Saccharomyces cerevisiae S288C: one gene and its partners. The gene in region 2 interacts genetically with the main gene of each other region. Each region holds a gene or a part of one and is shown on either strand. Other genes may lie near its edges. The genes, in order: TUS1, PET122, RGT1 and JID1.

What was found.
Region 1: mutations in PET122 (region 2) and TUS1 are lethal when combined (synthetic lethality), as found in Saccharomyces cerevisiae (2 studies listed by BioGRID, with this or other methods).
Region 3: mutations in PET122 (region 2) and RGT1 together harm fitness more than expected from each alone (negative genetic interaction), as found in Saccharomyces cerevisiae (2 studies listed by BioGRID).
Region 4: mutations in PET122 (region 2) and JID1 together harm fitness more than expected from each alone (negative genetic interaction), as found in Saccharomyces cerevisiae (2 studies listed by BioGRID).

What each region holds. Positions count from the first base shown.
Region 1 is NC_001144.5:980,841-987,320, reverse strand, and holds TUS1 (Rho family guanine nucleotide exchange factor TUS1), read right to left. Parts: upstream 4,428-6,480; coding exon 504-4,427; downstream 1-503. Other genes in the region: TDA5 (Tda5p), read right to left, coding at 1-108, 180-259. UniProt on the Saccharomyces cerevisiae protein: Guanine nucleotide-exchange factor (GEF) for RHO1 that stimulates the exchange of RHO1 GDP-bound form into GTP-bound form. Required for signaling of cell wall defects to RHO1.
Region 2 is NC_001137.3:473,497-476,752, reverse strand, and holds PET122 (Pet122p), read left to right. Parts: upstream 1-1,947; coding exon 1,948-2,712; downstream 2,713-3,256. Other genes in the region: GTPase-activating protein BEM2, read left to right, coding at 1-408; membrane insertase OXA1, read right to left, coding at 525-1,733; YER152C (2-aminoadipate transaminase), read left to right, coding at 2,765-3,256. UniProt on the Saccharomyces cerevisiae protein: Required for expression of the mitochondrial gene for cytochrome c oxidase subunit 3 (COX3). PET122 seems to work by directly interacting with the small ribosomal subunit to promote translation initiation on the COX3 mRNA.
Region 3 is NC_001143.9:363,657-369,658, forward strand, and holds RGT1 (Rgt1p), read left to right. Parts: upstream 1-1,948; coding exon 1,949-5,461; downstream 5,462-6,002. Other genes in the region: PTM1 (Ptm1p), read left to right, coding at 1-537; AIM26 (Aim26p), read left to right, coding at 5,709-6,002. UniProt on the Saccharomyces cerevisiae protein: Glucose-responsive transcription factor that regulates expression of several glucose transporter (HXT) genes in response to glucose.
Region 4 is NC_001148.4:675,439-678,725, reverse strand, and holds JID1 (Jid1p), read left to right. Parts: upstream 1-1,843; coding exon 1,844-2,749; downstream 2,750-3,287. Other genes in the region: YPR063C (uncharacterized protein), read left to right, coding at 406-446, 533-914; FCY1 (cytosine deaminase), read right to left, coding at 1,085-1,561; chorismate mutase ARO7, read left to right, coding at 3,095-3,287. UniProt on the Saccharomyces cerevisiae protein: Probable chaperone.

The DNA of each region.
Region 1 (6,480 bases), on a different chromosome or scaffold from region 2:
TTCCAGGCGACCTGTCCCGACCGCTTTATATAGGAATTAGCAATGAGGAATGCATTTATCAGTAGTGTATAGATTGTTAGACAAATGCTTATCGAGTCGCTTAGAGACCTAGGTTAGTTCGTCATGTTAGTATAAAAAACGCTGTTTCTAACCTCATGCCTATTTTCTACTTTACATACCATCTCAATACAAGAGCTACCAGAAGTGGATAGCGCAGCAGTGGCAGAACTACCCAACGACACAAACAGTCTATATTCATCACCAGAACTTCACCTTTTCCTCACAGCCGTATTATCACATATTAATGTATCTGTTCTACTGATTTTAAAGAGCTACTTGTTATACGGCTAAATGCACTTCCGAGGGTAACCTGTTATTCAGGATTATATGAACAGAGAGAATAATGATGTGAGTTACTGCAAATAGCATAATTACTGGACTATATTCTTGTTGGCTTATATTATTACAACGATATTTACCATTAAAAGTGTCTATATCTTATATTATTGATGATCTGCCATTGCTACAGGATTGCACGCGACTAATAATTGTCTATTAAGTATATTTGGATGACTTAACACAAGAATTGTTTTCTCTCTCCTTTCTGAACTAGCCAGCTTTATCTTCTTTCCTTTTATGATCTGGACGGGAACCAATTCGCCTAGGTTCTGCTCAACATTTTTTAAGTCGTAAATCTGTATCAAATTGTCGCCAACGAGAATCAAATGATTACCATGGAAGCTCGCGCCGGTACAACAAAAATCAAGTAAGAGAATATCCTTTCTCCAATCAGACATCTCACCGTAGCAGTTTATTTTCACTACGGCTTCATCATAAACCAAGGCAAAAAAACTAGATTGTGATATTTGAAAAAAATTGACCGGTATAGCTTTGCAAGTGGCGATATCCTTTTTTGCTTCTTCAGTGAGAGATTCTATGGAGGGGCGTTTCTTGGAGTCTGTAGCACTTTTGAACGGTAAGCTATTCAAATGTGGATGCCTCAAGTGTGCCATCATATCTTTATCATTCAAAAAAGATGGTAAGACTATTCCGTTATCCTCGAATGAATCTTGATAAAGTATGACTGTTTTCTTTGTACACACAGCAAAACTTTTCCTGAATATGGCAATATCCTCAATTTCGTTATTCAGAATGTTATTACTTGAACTTGGGAGCTTATACTCTTTGTAAAATTTGAAATATTTTACTTGGTTTGTCAATTGATCAAATTCTGGTGTTAATATAACTATCTTCCCCTTTCTTTCAAAAAATAAATGTTTTGAGTTACCAAAATCATCAGCAATTTTGAAGAATCTCACCTTATCTCTGATTACTGTTCCCACAATGCAGTTTTCATCTAGAGTGTTTCCTTGCGCTAGGTAACGGCTCACTACCGTTGAGATATTAAAATAGCACAACTTTCTGTTATCCAATACAAACAAGAGCCCCAACTTAACATTGGCTTCCATTCTTTTGACGTCGTTTAATTCTAATATTTTAACGAAACCACTACCATAATCGTCTCTATATTTCACATAGATACCGTCTGTTGTAGCCACAAATAGGTAAATTCTGCCCTCGAATTTAACATCTTCACAACAAAGAATCCGTGTTGTCTTACTCCATGAACATGAATCTTTGTTTGCTTTTTGAGCGTAAGCTTTGAGTGCTACATCAATTTCTGATCCTTCCGGAGCTACAGGTAGATTCACCGGTGCATCCTTGTCGAAGTATGCGAACTCAGAGCTCAACACTGTAAATTCAAAGGCATTTAAATCATGATTTTCTGCATTTCTTTTAAAAGATTCCATGATAGCATCAATCCATTGGTTGAGTACTTCTGCACTTTCTGTAAAAAATTTGAACGATTCACCTGTGGCTGTATTTCTGATCTTAAATGAGAACTCGTCTGTGTTTGGATTCGCGTTAGAAATTTCAGTATTACTAGTCTTTCTATCTCCATACGCTGTTGACATGTGATTTCCAGAACTTTTAAGCAGAGGTCTCATGGAGTTAATCGGTGTCGAAAAATTATGCATTGGGGATTTATGTTCTTTCTGAGAGTAGTTTCTCAGAGGCTGTTTACTTGTTCCTGGAATTTTCCTTTTCTCGAGACTTAAATAATCTATTGGGATAGGTCTTTCAATAAGCTTATATTTTTGAGTTTCTCCTTTACTTATTTCCTCTGTAATCAGTAAGCAATTGTCCAATAATGCGATATACACTGGGGTTGGGTCCAGCCATAAATCCCTCTTTTTATAAACAGTGCCAGATAGTACTAACTTCCTTTCCGGATAAGTTAAACCAAGAGCTAGTTTATCCTGAATTGCATCATCGTCATTTGCGTTAGTACTACCACCGACGTTCACATAGCTTGTTGCATTACTACTATTAGTACTTAATACTAATTGTTTCGAAAACCTTACTAGTTTCCTATGGTCAATTGCTAATCCATGTACCTGATTAACTTCAAAGTTCAACTTTTCTACTTCCTTAATTACTATTTTCAGGTATTCATAATCCTCCATGGAAGGATCCGTGTTCTTCAAAATTGAGCGCAGAGTTACGGGCATGTTTTGTAAAGATTTGAAAAACCCCCCAAAGAATATAACATCATGATACATCTTCGATCTTGTAATTTCAACCGAGTTATCAATCTCCTTAAGCCATGTTACAAATTTCGTCTTGTTTTTCTTCTCCCACATTATGATTTCGTGTACCGTTGCCATAGCTTTCGCGTAATTCAAATATATATTCTTGGCTTCACCACACCATTTTGAATAGATTTTTCCAACGCCATCAATAAACTTACCTCTCGTTTTTAATTTCCAAAATATTGGCGTCAAAAGAAATTCGGTATGTAATTGTATTAGAGGTTCGAAGATATCAAATGCCAATGCCTTGAACTCAGGCTCATCTGGAAGTAGGGATTTGTCAAACCGTTTCCCATAGATTTCTACCGCGGCAGTAGCCATGTTTAAGGATCTTTCTTCTAAAATAATTAAGTCAAATATAAAGCTTTGTCTTTGTACTTCACGGGGATTAATTTCTGCTAAATCATCTGGAGTCAAGTGCCAGTATTCTGTCCAAAGTCCAACTGATTTATTTATGATTTCGGAAAGTTTTATTTCTTTTCTGAAGCCAGAGCTTTGGCCATGTGTGCAAACGTTGGAATAACAAATCAGGGAGTTTGTAGATCCATAAGTATTATCGATGAATGAATAGCACGGTAGTAGTTCGGTGAAAACACCAGTAATATCCAGCCCTCCCACAACTACGGCTACCTCTTCATCGTTAATGATATCGAATCTTACTGCTTTCTGGGAAATAAACGAAGCCATAATATTATCCACATTTGAGTCTATCGTATCTTGATCGAAATTTGTAGGCATTTGAAACTCTAAAAGTAATTGAACAATTTGGAAAAGATCGATTTTCGTGAAGACACATTCATTAAACCATTCAAAATAAACTTTCAAAATCCACTCATAAATAGCAGAAAGTTTGTAAACATTATCACATTGATAAAGCTTGTGCTCATCGATAGATTGAATTGAAAATGGTTGTGTCGGTGCAGTAATGCTTGGTGCTAATTCTAATGGCTTGGCTCCTAGTAAAGAGTTAAAACTACTTTGCCTGGCATTTGAGTTATTAAAAGTATAATCTGAGTCAGAATAAACACTTTCTAGGGCTTCTGATACTCGGCTATTCCCACTTACGTTTCTAGATGTTGATAGAGGCGGTGGTGGTTTCGTAAAAAATTCTGAGTCTTCATCATCAAAAGGAGATAGCAGAAGAGTAGTAGTGAAAGGAATTGGGGGTAAAGCTTTTTCTCTTTCATGACACCGTAGATCTGATTCATCAGAGAAGTGAGCCTGCTGTTTGCTACTATCTCTTGGAGATTTAGGGGAATTTGGACTAAATCCGTTCGCAAATGGTGATTTTAAGATCCTGGAATGGTTAGATATGTATTCCATGTGATGTCGTTCCTCTGAGTTTCCTATAAAGGATAGTTTATTAGGTGATCTTTCCCGGGACTGAGAACTGGGAGATACCATGGGTGAGTCTATCCGTATTGATTCAGTGGAATACAAAAGGGGTGGCGGTGGTGGTGGTCGTCTTTCTTTGACGTACTTTGTCGATTTGGGTGTGGATTCTGAAGAGCTAGTACCGTTTCCCCTTGCACTATGTTTTGATGTAAAGGTAAAAGCCTGAGGGACCGGGCTTTGGAATTGCTGGGTGTCACTGATTGGTGTCCAGCCAATTGAGATATTATCTGTTCCGTTATCAGAATCATCCAAAAAGGAGTTCCTCGTATTCAATGGTGGCAGTTTGGGCAATTCGATGCTCTTTCGTTGGCTTTCTTGACGGCTTACTCGTTTTTCTGGTGTTCGTTCAAAAGGGGAACTTCTATTATATCGATACATGTTAACTTGCTGCACTCAATAAGTTTTTTGTTTTAATGTTTATATTCGAAGTAGTATCAATTAATTGTTCATAACAGTGGCTGGAGGGGGTATACAGAACCACTAAAACCTCCAGAAATAATAGTTGAATAAAATATTGATGCAAGAAATGGATTTTGAACAGTTATATTGCGTACTGATCATCCTCTCTAGGGGTTGTTTACCTAAACGATGTGTTAACGTTTTCTCTAAATGATTTATATTGCGGCCTATGCGACGAGTCAGTATGAACAATAGAAAATCTTAAGAAGCCGTAAGCTAAAAACATCAAATGATTATAGCGCACCAACTGCTCGACTGGAAGCAGCGAAATTACGTATGTATGACCGAAGCTCAGTTAATTTTCTCTTAAGTAAAGACACAACCTTTAAATGTTGACTAACTGTGTTTGAGTAGGGGAAAAGTCCCCAAAAGTTGACGCATTTCCTTTGCATGACTGGTTTTGGAAAAGATTTCGACCTAACTCCCCAAAAAATTACTGTGAACACCTATCTGTGTAAATTTACGGTTGTTTTAGTCAAAATAGCTGTTATAACGTTTATCATAGTCCACTAAAACAGTATTTGGACACCGAACAAACTGTTTTCGATTAGGAGATTAATCGCATCTATTAAATAGCTTGATGTTTTTATTATACAATCTTCAACATTAGTTGTGATATGGAAGTTTAAAATACTGGCTAGAGACACTCGTTAGGGTTAAGGTAAATCGATAGCGGTAGTACATTATGGCATACATACCAAGATCGGGTAAAGCCGTTCCATAGTTAGATGCCTACTACTAAATGACGGTCTGAAATGGGAATTATATACGATAAATATCACAAATTGAGGAGATGGAATATAAGGATTAGCTGCTAATTATATGACAGGTTTATTGCGACGTTACTATATTACAACAGATGGCGGTTTTAGGGTAGTACCGCTTGCTTAATCGAATCAGATCAAATCAGAAGAAAAAGCAGGATCAGGCTTGAAGTACACGCTCAATGAACAAAAGCGAAAATAACCTTTTGTTTAGAGGTGCTTGTCATATCGAAATACTATATTAACTTTAAAATATTCCGCGCTACGTTGGGTGAATTAGAACTGACCAGGAGCATTTCCCTAATAAACTAAATTAGCGTGGCCACACTTTCAATCTTCGTGTGAACCTGTTGGAATAAAAATCAACTATCATCTACTAACTAGTATTTACGTTACTAGTATATTATCATATACGGTGTTAGAAGATGACGCAAATGATGAGAAATAGTCATCTAAATTAGTGGAAGCTGAAACGCAAGGATTGATAATGTAATAGGATCAATGAATATTAACATATAAAACGATGATAATAATATTTATAGAATTGTGTAGAATTGCAGATTCCCTTTTATGGATTCCTAAATCCTTGAGGAGAACTTCTAGTATATCTACATACCTAATATTATAGCCTTAATCACAATGGAATCCCAACAATTACATCAAAATCCACATTCTCTACATGGTAGCGCCTATGCTTCGGTTACTTCTAAGGAAGTCCCATCAAATCAAGATCCGTTAGCCGTTTCAGCTTCCAATTTACCGGAATTTGATAGAGATTCCACTAAGGTTAATTCTCAAGAAGAGACAACACCTGGGACATCAGCTGTTCCAGAGAACCATCATCATGTCTCTCCTCAACCTGCTTCAGTACCACCTCCACAGAATGGACAGTACCAACAGCACGGCATGATGACCCCAAACAAAGCTATGGCTTCTAACTGGGCACATTACCAACAACCATCTATGATGACGTGTTCACATTATCAAACGTCACCTGCGTATTATCAACCGGACCCACACTATCCGCTGCCACAGTATATCCCACCGCTGAGTACTTCCTCACCTGATCCAATCGATTCACAGGATCAACACTCTGAAGTACCTCAAGCTAAGACAAAGGTGAGAAATAATGTCTTACCACCACACACTTTAACATCAGAAGAAAACTTTTCTACATGGGTTAAATTTTACATCAGATTTTTGAAGAA
Region 2 (3,256 bases):
GATAGATGGTTTGAAGTGAATGCGATCGCAGGCTGTTTTAAGATGTATTTAAGAGAGTTACCAGATTCTTTATTTTCTCATGCTATGGTGAACGACTTTACCGATTTGGCGATTAAGTATAAAGCACATGCAATGGTAAATGAAGAATACAAGAGAATGATGAATGAGTTACTCCAAAAGTTACCTACATGCTATTACCAAACTTTGAAAAGAATTGTATTTCATTTGAATAAAGTACATCAGCATGTTGTAAATAATAAAATGGACGCATCAAACTTGGCTATTGTATTTTCCATGAGTTTTATAAACCAAGAAGACTTAGCCAACAGCATGGGGTCCAGATTAGGTGCAGTTCAGACAATCCTGCAAGATTTTATTAAGAATCCAAATGATTATTTCAAGCAATAAACAATTTTCGTGGTAAATGTATACAATCCACTGCTGAGAGAGAAAAAATTTGGTCCCGCCTATCGAGGGTTTGAGTTTTATATTTTTATATTTACAGAGAGATATAGAGCCTTTATTCATTTTTTGTTATTAATGAAGTTTGATTTGTGAACAATTTTGATTTTGGAATTCTGCCTCTTCTCCTTGAAGCTTTCTTGTAACTTCTTCTCATTATCTTGCATCAATTGCCTTCTTTCCGCCTGATCTCTTGCCTTTTGAATGTTATGTTTTAATGATTGGAAGATGCCCATGTTCTCTGTGGGGGAAGCGCCAGCGATAGGAGTCCTTGGTTTAGCTACTTCTGTTATCTTCAGTTTCGAACGAACCCATTTGTTTCTCAAAATCATTGTCTGTAGGACGGAGAAGGCACCATTAAAGGCAAAGTAGAGGACCACAGCGGACGATAAGTTCATTGTGGCCGGTATAGAAATGATCGGTAGAATAGTGAAAAGACGCTTCATGGGAGAACTGAATTGTTGAGCACCAGTCTCACCCCCCAGCCTTGTAAATGAGATGAACACAGCGGCAGTGATTACTTGCAAACCTAAGTAAGGGTCTGCTTGAGTCAAGTCTGTAAACCAAGCGACACCTTGATTAGCGAACCCATCTACTGGGTAGTTAGCCATGTGTCTCAATGCGTTGAAAAACCCAAGGGCGATTGGAATTTGTAGCATGGGTGCGGCCAGCCATCTGTTCTTAATGCCGTGCGAGGAGAGCAGTTTTTTCCTTTGCATGGCGACTAGCTGACCTTGTTGCAAATCTGTAGTGGACATTAGCTTATTATTCAAGGCGTCCAGCTCGGGCTTGATATGGGAATTTCTAGCAACAGTATCAGAGGACTTGACATAGAGGGGAAACATCAGGCATCGAATGAGGATGGTGGTGGCCGCGATAGTTCCCCACCAAGGCAACCCAGAGTAAACATGAACGGCCTCCAAGACGTGTTGGATAATGTCCGAGGGCCAGTACCAGGTTTGGGCCAGGCCAATGCTATTTAAGTACCCTATATGGGAGGACAACTCGCCCACTGTTTGGGTCGTGTTAGCGATAAGGTCCGAAGTAGAAGCGGAAAGAGAAGGAGCTGAAGAGGTTAATTCATCGATGGAAGGCAACTGGGTTTGGATTTCCGAGACATCGTTGGCATTTGGGCCCGTCGAATTAAATCTTTTGGCCTGAAAAGAGATCCATGACGGATGGGGCCGGGGCAATACTATGGTTCGAGCGGTGGCCAGTCTGGAAGAGGCAGCAAACCTTGACGTGACGAGTCGAGAGGTGAGTTTGAACATCGTCGGGGAGGTTATTCTGTGGCTCCGCTTGTACGTGAACAGATACGTATAGAGGGCGAGCCACTGGTTAAATTTTTCATGGCTCGGATTACTTCCGTACTGCTGGCTAAAATCGAAATCTCGGCCTGCTGAGAGTGTTTTGAGCAATCAAGGGAACATCTGAACGTGGAAGAGCAGACGAGGCATTAGCTCGAACATAAGAACGGAACACGTCATGTTGACTATCACGAAAAGACTGGTGACCACCGATGTGCGGTCGCGAATACTGTTAAGCAGTTTAAACGGGAAAATGTCCGATGCACTGGCGCTGCTGCGTCAGCAGCAGCAGACCAGCGTGGATGTGGAGCTGCTGCACACGATGCTAGCGCGAGCCGCTGCGCTTGCCCATGCCGACACTATAGCATACATGTGGTATCAGCATGTGATGCCACGCCGGTTGCCAGTAGAGGGCCGCCTGCTATGTGAAATGGCTGGCGTAGCATTGTACCAGGACAGGCTCTTCTTACCCGCGCAGTTCCTCCAGCACTACCAGGCGATGAATCGCGATCGTCGCACCAGCCCAGAAGATGAACTGATTGAGTATGAGCTTAGACGGATTAAAGTCGAAGCGTTTGCGCGTGGCACAATGCACTCCACGGCGCTCAGGGAAAAGTGGAAGGTATTCTTGCAGGAGATGGATACGCTACCAGGGCAGCCGCCATTAAGGCTGCGCGACTTCCCGCAAATGACCAAGGCTATGGGCATAGCATTGATGCAGCAAGATGAGCAAGCAGCTGCCCTGGCGTTGTTTGGACGACAGCCCCTAGTGATAAAGAACGAATGGTCACTACCGCTACTACTGGCTGGTGTCCTTTGGCATGTTCCCGGCCCAGCGCAGGCGCGACGTGTGCTGGCGGAGTTCCGTCAAAGTTATCGCGGGCTGCCGCTGCTGGATGCCGAACTAGTGATAAAGAGAAGAGGATTTGAAATCAACACATAAATCTGGGTGGAGCATCGCTGTAACAAGGAACAACGCGTGCTAGCAAGCGGTAATGAAATACAAGGAAATCAATTTCTTCAAGGGCCATCCGAGCTCGAGGTTGCTGCCTCGAGAAGCAGTAATTCAAGCGACTGCGGCTATATTGGGGCCCGAGACCAGGGAGTACGATAACGACCCCTATAACAGGCATCCGCTGACGTACGGTTCGGACGAAGGTGCCCTGTGGGTGCGAGAGCAGATTTGTACGTTTCTGAATGATCAGCTGTTTAAGTTCGAAAATGGGGCTCGGAGCAGGACACGGGCAGACTATTTGAATCTGAATAGCGGCGCTTCGTATGGCATGCTGAACATCCTTCTGCAAACAACCTTGCCACATAACGGGTATACCAGGCAGGCGTTCATCATCACGCCAACATATTTCTTGATCAACAATTGCTTCACAGATGCGGGATTCAAGGGGAAAATGACCGCCATCAACGAGCAGGGCCACGACTCGATTGATTTCGAGTCGTTGATTTCTGCCCTTGAGCAGCACGAGGCGGAG
Region 3 (6,002 bases), on a different chromosome or scaffold from region 2:
TTAATCATATTTTACTACATGATTATTAGATCCATGACAAAAACAGTTATCTATTTGAAAGAGCAAAGGCAGATCGTAAAATTGAACATGTACAAGAAGCTACTATACATCATTTATGCGTCCTTTTTGAGTGTACTAGCTGGTAGTATAGTTTCGTCATTTATTTACGTTGGCATGAACACTATTGATATGATTGAGAAGAACTGGAGGTCAAGGTTCTTCGTTACTGATTTCTGGCCTACGTTAGTGTATTTCATTGTTTTCGTTACCATCGCGTTCTTATGGAGACCAACAGATACTTCATACATGCTAGCCGCATCCCAACAACTACCCACAGACCCAGAAAATGTCGCGGACTTTGACTTGGGCGATTTGCAATCGTTTGACGATCAAGATGACGCAAGTATCATCACTGGTGAGCGTGGCATAGACGAGGATGACCTCAATTTGAATTTTACTGATGATGAAGAAGGACACGATAATGTAAATAACCATAGCCAAGGCCACGGGCCAGTGTCTCCCTCTCCAACAAAATAACGCTACCTCCAGCAGATTTGATTAGGTGATGAGACAAATAGTTTCTTCGAGGGCAGTCACGAAATGTTTACAAGCGAAAAGAAAGAAATTATGAACCATATGCACTTCTGTTCAATGCGATGTGAATATGAATATGAATATAAATATGAATATAAATAAATAAATAAATAAATGCGTTGCACGTTTCTTTTCATTTATTTGTGCGTGCTTTTACCTGTTTATAACTGTAGTCACCAAAGCTATGCTATACTCTAGACCTAACTTTTTCGTTTTGTATTTATTTAGCCGCTCGCTGGAGTTTTTTTTTTTTCGGTGATAAGATGATTTATATCAAACCGAAACAAGCGAAAAGTTTCTGTTCATCGACTATAAAATGGAAGAGAAAATTGGTCCATAGACTTTTCATGTGTACTTGTTTATGAGAAGAGACGCAGGAAGACCAGAAGTGAGGAATTCCCTTTGTTCAAGGATGAACAACGAAGCCAGATAACGTAAGGTTGCGCGCTGCATCAGTGCTAACCTTATTAGCTTTCTCTGGCTTTTTCGGTCTTTCCTATGTAACATAACATGTATATTCTATTTGTTTATGATGAGACCACGTCCTTAGTGACAATGCTATAAACCCAGCTCTTCGATTCGTTTTTAATGAAAGGGAGAAGATTTTTTTGTCAAACGCTCTGAGTAATAGAATATACATGCGACAACATTTGTAGTTACTTGTCTTACGCTTCCTAGGGAACGGATCATCCGAGTAGAATATCATTTTACGGGATCACTTTATTCGGTGTGATTGCTCGTTAAGCCGCACGACCATTTTATGGGCACGCTTCCGCAAGTTGGTTCTTTCATCAGAAGCTTTACCACGATTGGCAAGTCATGTAGCATGTGCGCTAACATCGTTTATCGTTTTCTGTGACGTGGCTTATGAGCACCAGAGACGAATAATCAACAGTACATCAAACAAAAGCTACGTCACCTCACCAATAATCCGAGCTTCTTGAAATGGCAGGTATTGGATTCATAAAATATGTCGCTGCTTTGTGCATTTTCCTTTAGTTTTTTCCTTTTTTTTCATGTAGCTAACTAAGCAAGACGATTATGGGAAGGGACCTTTTAAGGAAAAACAGGAAAAAAAAATAGTAGCAACTAGTAAAAATTCAAAAAATAAAAAAAGTCAAAATAAGAACACATCAGTTAGGAACCGTGCTTGGAGTTTTGAGACTGGAGTATTGTCCATCCAACATATTCTGCTCTTTCACCATAGACTTCGTTGGAAATCGCCTCTCCCTTGTACTATATTGTGCAGAACCGTTCCCGCAATTTTCATTGGTGCAATAATAACACGCTTCTTCGATTCTCACATTTGTCAAGAAGCTGTACTCTTCTCTCAAACTCCAATATATTTCAAATTATGAACGAGCTGAACACTGTTTCGACTAACTCCAGTGACTCCACCAAGAACGGTGGTACATCCAATAGTCCCGACGATATGGACTCCGCAGCAGCAGCAAGTCACGCAATAAAGAAAAGAACAAAGGCCTCCCGGGCCTGCGATCAGTGTCGTAAAAAGAAGATTAAATGTGACTACAAAGATGAAAAGGGGGTCTGCTCAAACTGCCAAAGGAATGGAGACCGTTGTAGTTTTGATAGGGTTCCTTTGAAAAGGGGACCCTCGAAAGGCTATACGAGGAGCACCAGCCATCCAAGGACTAACGAAATACAAGACCACAATAACTCAAGGTCGTATAATACGTTTGATAATAGTAACAATACCCTGAATAATAATACGGGCAATAGCGGCGACAACGGTATAAACAGTAACACAGTTCCAAGTACCCCTTCGAGATCTAATTCAGTTTTATTGCCCCCACTGACACAGTACATTCCCCAGGCTGGTGGCATTCCTCCTAGTTTCCAAAATCCAGCGATACAATCAACTATGCCCGCGGGTAATATTGGCCAACAGCAGTTTTGGAAAGTGCCCTACCATGAGTTTCAACACCAAAGAAAAGGATCTATCGATTCTTTGCAAAGTGATATATCGGTAAGAACATTAAATCCCAACGAGCAGTTGTCTTATAACACCGTTCAACAGTCTCCCATAACGAATAAACATACTAATGATTCTGGAAATGCAAACGGAAGTGTCACCGGCTCAGGCAGTGCCTCTGGTAGTGGTGGTTATTGGTCCTTTATAAGAACTTCTGGTTTACTAGCTCCTACTGATGATCATAATGGGGAACAGACAAGAAGATCAAGTTCCATACCTTCTTTGCTACGAAATACTTCAAATTCTCTTTTACTAGGTGGCCAGCCTCAGCTTCCCCCACCTCAGCAACAATCGCAGCCACAAGCACACCAACAAAAGTTGCAACAAGGACAGAACCTATACTCGTATTCTCAATTTTCCCAGCAGCAACCGTACAACCCATCGATATCATCTTTTGGCCAGTTCGCTGCTAATGGTTTTCATTCTAGACAAGGATCAGTCGCCAGCGAGGCTATGTCTCCCAGTGCACCTGCCATGTTTACTAGCACATCTACAAACCCCGTAAATGTTGCACAGCAAACACAAAGACCTCAAGGACAGCAGGTACCGCAATTTTCATCTGAGTTGGATGGAAATAAAAGGCGACAATCAGCCCCCGTATCAGTAACATTATCCACGGACAGGCTGAATGGTAATGAGAATAATAATGGTGAAATTAACAACAATAATGGCAGCAATAATAGCGGTTCTTCTAAGGATACATCTCAACATTCCCAAGAATCTGTAACTACACCAGCGGCTTTGGAAGCATCCAGCCCTGGATCAACGCCACAGAGAAGTACAAAAAAACGCAGAAAAAGTTACGTATCTAAGAAGACAAAACCAAAGAGAGATTCATCTATATCTATAACATCGAAAGATTCTGCTCACCCAATGACCACTTCATCAACTATCGCGTATGGACAGATATCCGATGTAGATCTAATAGACACCTACTATGAGTTCATACATGTAGGATTTCCGATCATACCTTTAAACAAAACGACCTTGACCAGTGACTTATTGTTAGTTAACACACAGCCAATTTCCAATATACACGAAGTCAATTCATATGTTATTTTGTGGTTTAGAAATTCATTGGAATTGTTAGTTCGTGTTGCTCTGAAACAAAAGCCAGGTGGCAAGTTTTTCGATAATATTGTTGGCGTGGCTTTGTCGCCAAGTAATGACAACAACAAAGCTGGGTTCACTACAGCCACGGCAAGGGATGATGCTGAAAAAACAAGACGTGATTCACATAATGAAGTACAGGATACTTTGGAAGTGCAAAGCGTTTTTATTGCCGCCCTCAATGAATGTTTCCAAAAAATCGTGGATATTCATCCCAAATTCAGAGAAAACAACGACCAAATTTCGCCGAAGATCAAAGTCATTTATTTATCTACTTTTATTCTTTTAAATTACATTTTGGCATTTGTTGGATACGATAACTCATTTGTACTTGGAATGTCGGTGACAATTTTTAACGAATTTAAATTATACAAACTTCTATTATTTCCGGAGCCGGATATAAATGATGTGAAGCCTCCAGTTGATGAAGAGGTCAGCACTGGTAATGGGAATACAAAAACGTCCGAATTTGAAATTGGATCTGAAAGTGCTGGGCATATGAATCCATCCAATTCACCAAATTCCATGGACGAAAACATTAGTCACTATTCAGTGTTGTTTAAAAGATTATACGTTTTGCTTTCAGTGTTTGATTCTTTACAAAGCTGTGCATTCGGTGGTCCCAAGCTATTAAACATTTCCATCCAAGGTTCTACAGAAAGATTTTTTTCTAATGATTTGGGCTCAAAATGGTGCCTGGAACAAAGCCAATTGAGACTGAAAAGCGTCTTGCAAAGCTTGAAATTGGGTGAATTGATGAGTGAGCTTACCAGGAATAGAATATCAATGAACGGCAATAGGAAGCCTGGGTTCGATATTACGAACTCGTCTTCACTCTTATCGGAATATGTGGAAACTCAACCTCTATCCGTAGCACAGTTATTTTGCAAGCTATTAATTGGCAAACACAATTTCATCAATTGCTTATTATCATTATACGATTCAGAAGCAGGAGTCTATTCAGATTTGACATTGGATTTGAGTTCGAAAATAGCAGACTCTCTGTGCTCATTGATATCAATAATTTTGCAAGTATTGACGTTGATATTAAGACTGAATCCTACGAACAGTATTGATTTTAATTATAGACCACCGAACCCACCCGCTAATAATCCGACAGTGCAAGAGGGCCCATCTGCTATGGGCTCGTCTCCAGTCGCTGGGAACCTTAGCGCTGCACCTCCATCGGAGGGGAATCCAGATTTTTACAAGAAATTACTAGGCCTGAAACAAGACACTGGCACTATCCTTTCAGACCTTTGCCGGGGGATAATTTCCCCCTTTGCTATTGCTATCCTGCACGAGGTCTACAACATCACTGAACTGGTCAAGCAGATGCCTACATCACTCATTAGCATTATGATGACGGCAACTACAACGCAGAATACTCAGGACACCAAGAAGTCGCAGGACCTGGTCATGAAGCTGTCAAACTCGATGAATGAAGTAGTTCAAATCACCAGCGTGCTGACAATGATCAAGCCATTCAAGATCTTCGAGCACGAGCTTAATAAGCCCATAATGTCCCTGACAGGAGGACTTTCGTCCACGACCAGAAACGACGTCATGTGGCCAAAGTCGGGCCAAGGCCTCCGCGAGTCATCAGTCATGAAGACATTGCTTGATGAACGCCGTACTTCTGGTACACAACCGACAACGGCGCCAGTAGCCGCAGAGGAACCCAGGCTTGAGAACGTTGCCCTGGAAAATTTCGTTAGTATCGGCTGGAAGCTGTTGGACGATTCCGAGTTAGGCTGGTATTGACAGGTAACTATGCTCCCTTCTCCTGTAGGTCAGGTTCTCCCTTCTCCTCAGGCAGAAATTCGCGTAAAGAACTACCATGCAATGAATGACCAATTTAAGTAAAACACATAAATAATACTTACTTACACATATACACACTAGCTGTTTTAACCTGTAACAATACTGCCTTGTCAGAGTGCGCACGGCCTTTTACTCTGGTGCTCCACCATCTTCCACGGTATTCGAGAGTCGCCAAGCTCAGGGGCGCATGCAGACAATGGGCGGGGAGCACCTTCTTCTTTCACAGCTAAAGGGGTCTTTCTTTCTCCTACTTTTGGCATACTTTTTCAGGGGCAGAAGTCCTTATTACGCACGTTGCTACCGCCGGCTTGCTGTTACACCTGGTGCCATCACTATTGCCATTGCCATTGCTACAGATTCAATTCCGGCGCTTGCAAAGTCCAAAGTTCTGGTGTCGGTTTGTTCTCACACAGATCCCTGTACAGCGTCTTGTAACCTGATCCCCTTCCCCCGCCCCTTCTCGAACAGCCTGACGCGCTTC
Region 4 (3,287 bases), on a different chromosome or scaffold from region 2:
AAGCAATATTTGCAGGTTGAATGTAGGTCAACTGCATACTGGGAAGCGTTTTCTGACCGCTTCGGAAGCGTGAGCGGTCCGTCTCTTACAACTCGTTTGGAGCTACATGGTGAGACAACATTGGCGCGCACGCCAATGTTGTCCTTCTCAATGGCCATGCAAACACTGCTATTTTATCGATAACTGTTGTGATCTTGGCTTAGTTCTTGTGCTTTTTACACCCCGCAGTAGCGCTAGTTGTATGATTGCGGTTATCTGTCGCTTCTGTTCTCGTAACGCGCAACATGGAAGAAAAAATACTGAAAAATAATTTTAACAAAAGCTTGAGCAGAATGGGCATGGTACAACATCCATAGGCAAAAAAAAGGAATACATATACTCCGCTGCTACCTCCTCAACTAAACAATGACTTTGAATAACGTTGCAAGGCCCGACCTTTGTGTTTCGTATGTTTTTCACCGACAATTTTCTTTCAAATTTGCTGATATTGCCAATATATACTAACAGTTCAACCGCTCCCTTTCTACCACAGGTACAAGAAAATTGCGCCACCAAAAGGACTATATTCTGCCACACCAAGCATATCTGGTGTGGTTAACCAATCCATGCCTATGGCCGCTATTTTCTTGAGGAACAAGTTCATTGCCTGGTTCTCCCTGATTCAGAGTGTACACTACTACCTGAACACCGACGAAGACATCATCGTTGCCTATAAGGAAAATAAGGCACCATCTCCAATGGACCAGCCTCCTGCAATCAAGCTATTCATGAGTTTAATCGGGTTATGCGTGTGTTACATGAACTTAGTTTTCCCTCAACAAATAGCTCAACCATCGTCTAGCGGCTCTAAAGGTAATACTGAAACGACAATTGAGACAACTACCGAAGTAGAGACGGAAACAGCTAAGCAGTAGGCTTATCCTATCCTCTATTTCCGCCCTGCCCCATCAAAAGGAAGGAAAAAATAGTAAATACGGGACTTCCTGTGTCGTTTTTTCATTTCCTAGGTTTTTTTCAAGTCTTCCCTAGTAGTGTATGCACAAATATATAAAATTAAATACGTAAATACAGCGTGCTGCGTGCTCTACTCACCAATATCTTCAAACCAATCCTGAGGTCTTTCATCGATAAATTGTTTCATGATCTTTTTACACCTCTCATCGTCAACAACAACAACCTCGTGACCTCTAGTTTGTAAATATTTCTCGCCCTTACTTTTGAAATTAACGTTCTCACCGACAACACAGCGTGGAATACCATACATGATGATGGCACCTGTACACATGTCGCATGGAGACAGCGTCGTATACAAAGTGGTATCTTTGTACACTTTGCCCTCTAATCTCCCACAGTTTTCCAAAGTGGAGATCTCACCATGTAGTGTGGCGGATCCCTTTTGAAATCTCATGTTGTGACCACGACCGAGAACACTTCCGTCTTTGTTATTGATAAGACATCCGCCAATAGGAACACCACCCTCTTTGTAACCTAAGGCCGCCTCCTCATAGGCAATGTCCATACCCTTCTGATCCCACTTGCTTGCCATTCCCCCTGTCACCATTAGCTATGAAATTTTTAACTCTTTAAGCTGGCTCTCATCAACATAAAACAATGGCTTGTAGATCTCATTGTCGAATTGAAAATGAACTTTTTAATTTCGCAAAAAAAAAAAGAAAAGTTCAGGGTCTCCGGGTACTACCGCCCCTGCAAGGAATGACCGGTGATAATGGAAGAGAAGATATTACAGCGACAGTATAATTAACAAACACGTTGTGTCTTTAGGCTCGTAACTAACTGTACGTATATCTACACACCATAGGTCACTACTTGCAATATATTTGTTATGCTACACCATAAGTTCGTATACCCATTTTTATTCAAGTGGCACTTATCATGTGTAGAAAAGTGTCCCCCACAAATCACTTTTATAGCTAAGTATGCTACAGCGAACGATAAAAATGGCAATAGAAAACTTACGATAAGGGATGAACAATGGCCTGAGTTGGCAGATCCAACTCCCTATGATATTTTTGGCATTCCAAAGGCCGGATCTGGAAATCCTAAACTGGACAAGAAGTCGTTAAAAAAAAAATATCATCGTTATGTAAAATTGTACCACCCTGACCATTCCGATAACATTCAAATATTTAGCTCAGAAAAGGTTACCAACAGTGATAGTAAATCACCGCTGCTGCTAACATCAAGCGAAAAACTACATAGATTTAAAGTCATCTCTCAAGCATATGATATTCTTTGTGACCCAAAGAAAAAGATCGTATATGACACAACGAGGCAAGGCTGGACCACATCGTATTCACCACGTTCTAACGTTAATACTGAAAATTACCAATATGCCGGCTCTTATGGCTACCACTCTAACGCGCAGTATGAATACTGGAACGCTGGGACTTGGGAAGACGCAAATAGCATGAAAAACGAAAGAATTCAAGAAAACATCAACCCATGGACCGTTATTGGCATAATTTGTGGCCTAGCTATATGCATCGAAGGGACTGCGTTGTTAGCCAAAATCCAGGAGTCTCTGAGCAAGGCCGAATTTACTCATGACGAAAGTGGATTACATTTGATTCAGTCATACACGAATTATGGTCTTGATACTGACAAATTTTCCAGATTGAGGCGGTTCTTATGGTTTAGAACTTGGGGACTTTACAAGTCGAAAGAGGATTTAGATAGAGAAGCCAAGATCAATGAAGAAATGATACGCAAACTGAAAGCAGCTAAATGAAATCACCTATTGCGCCGCTCGCGGAATACAATTACTAAATTTTATATATATTCTTTAAAAATGCATCTATACATTCGTTTTTCCACGTATACCAAATTCGAAAAAAGTTGTTAAACCATCGTTTTCACGTTTTTTAATTTTTTTTTGGTTCTCTTTTTTTTTTTTTTTCAATATCAACTTTTTTTCAAACTTCGTGTTGCATTTCCTTTATCGTAAATTTTCAATGGATCTCTATAATCTTCGAAGTTCGAAGAAAAGAAGAAAAAAAGTATTGAAAAGTTGAAACATCGATTCCGTTTTGCTAACAAATAGCACTCAGCATCCTGCATAAAATTGGTATAAGATATGGATTTCACAAAACCAGAAACTGTTTTAAATCTACAAAATATTAGAGATGAATTAGTTAGAATGGAGGATTCGATCATCTTCAAATTTATTGAGAGGTCGCATTTCGCCACATGTCCTTCAGTTTATGAGGCAAACCATCCAGGTTTAGAAATTCCGAATTTTAAAGGATCTTTCTTGGATTGGGCTCTTT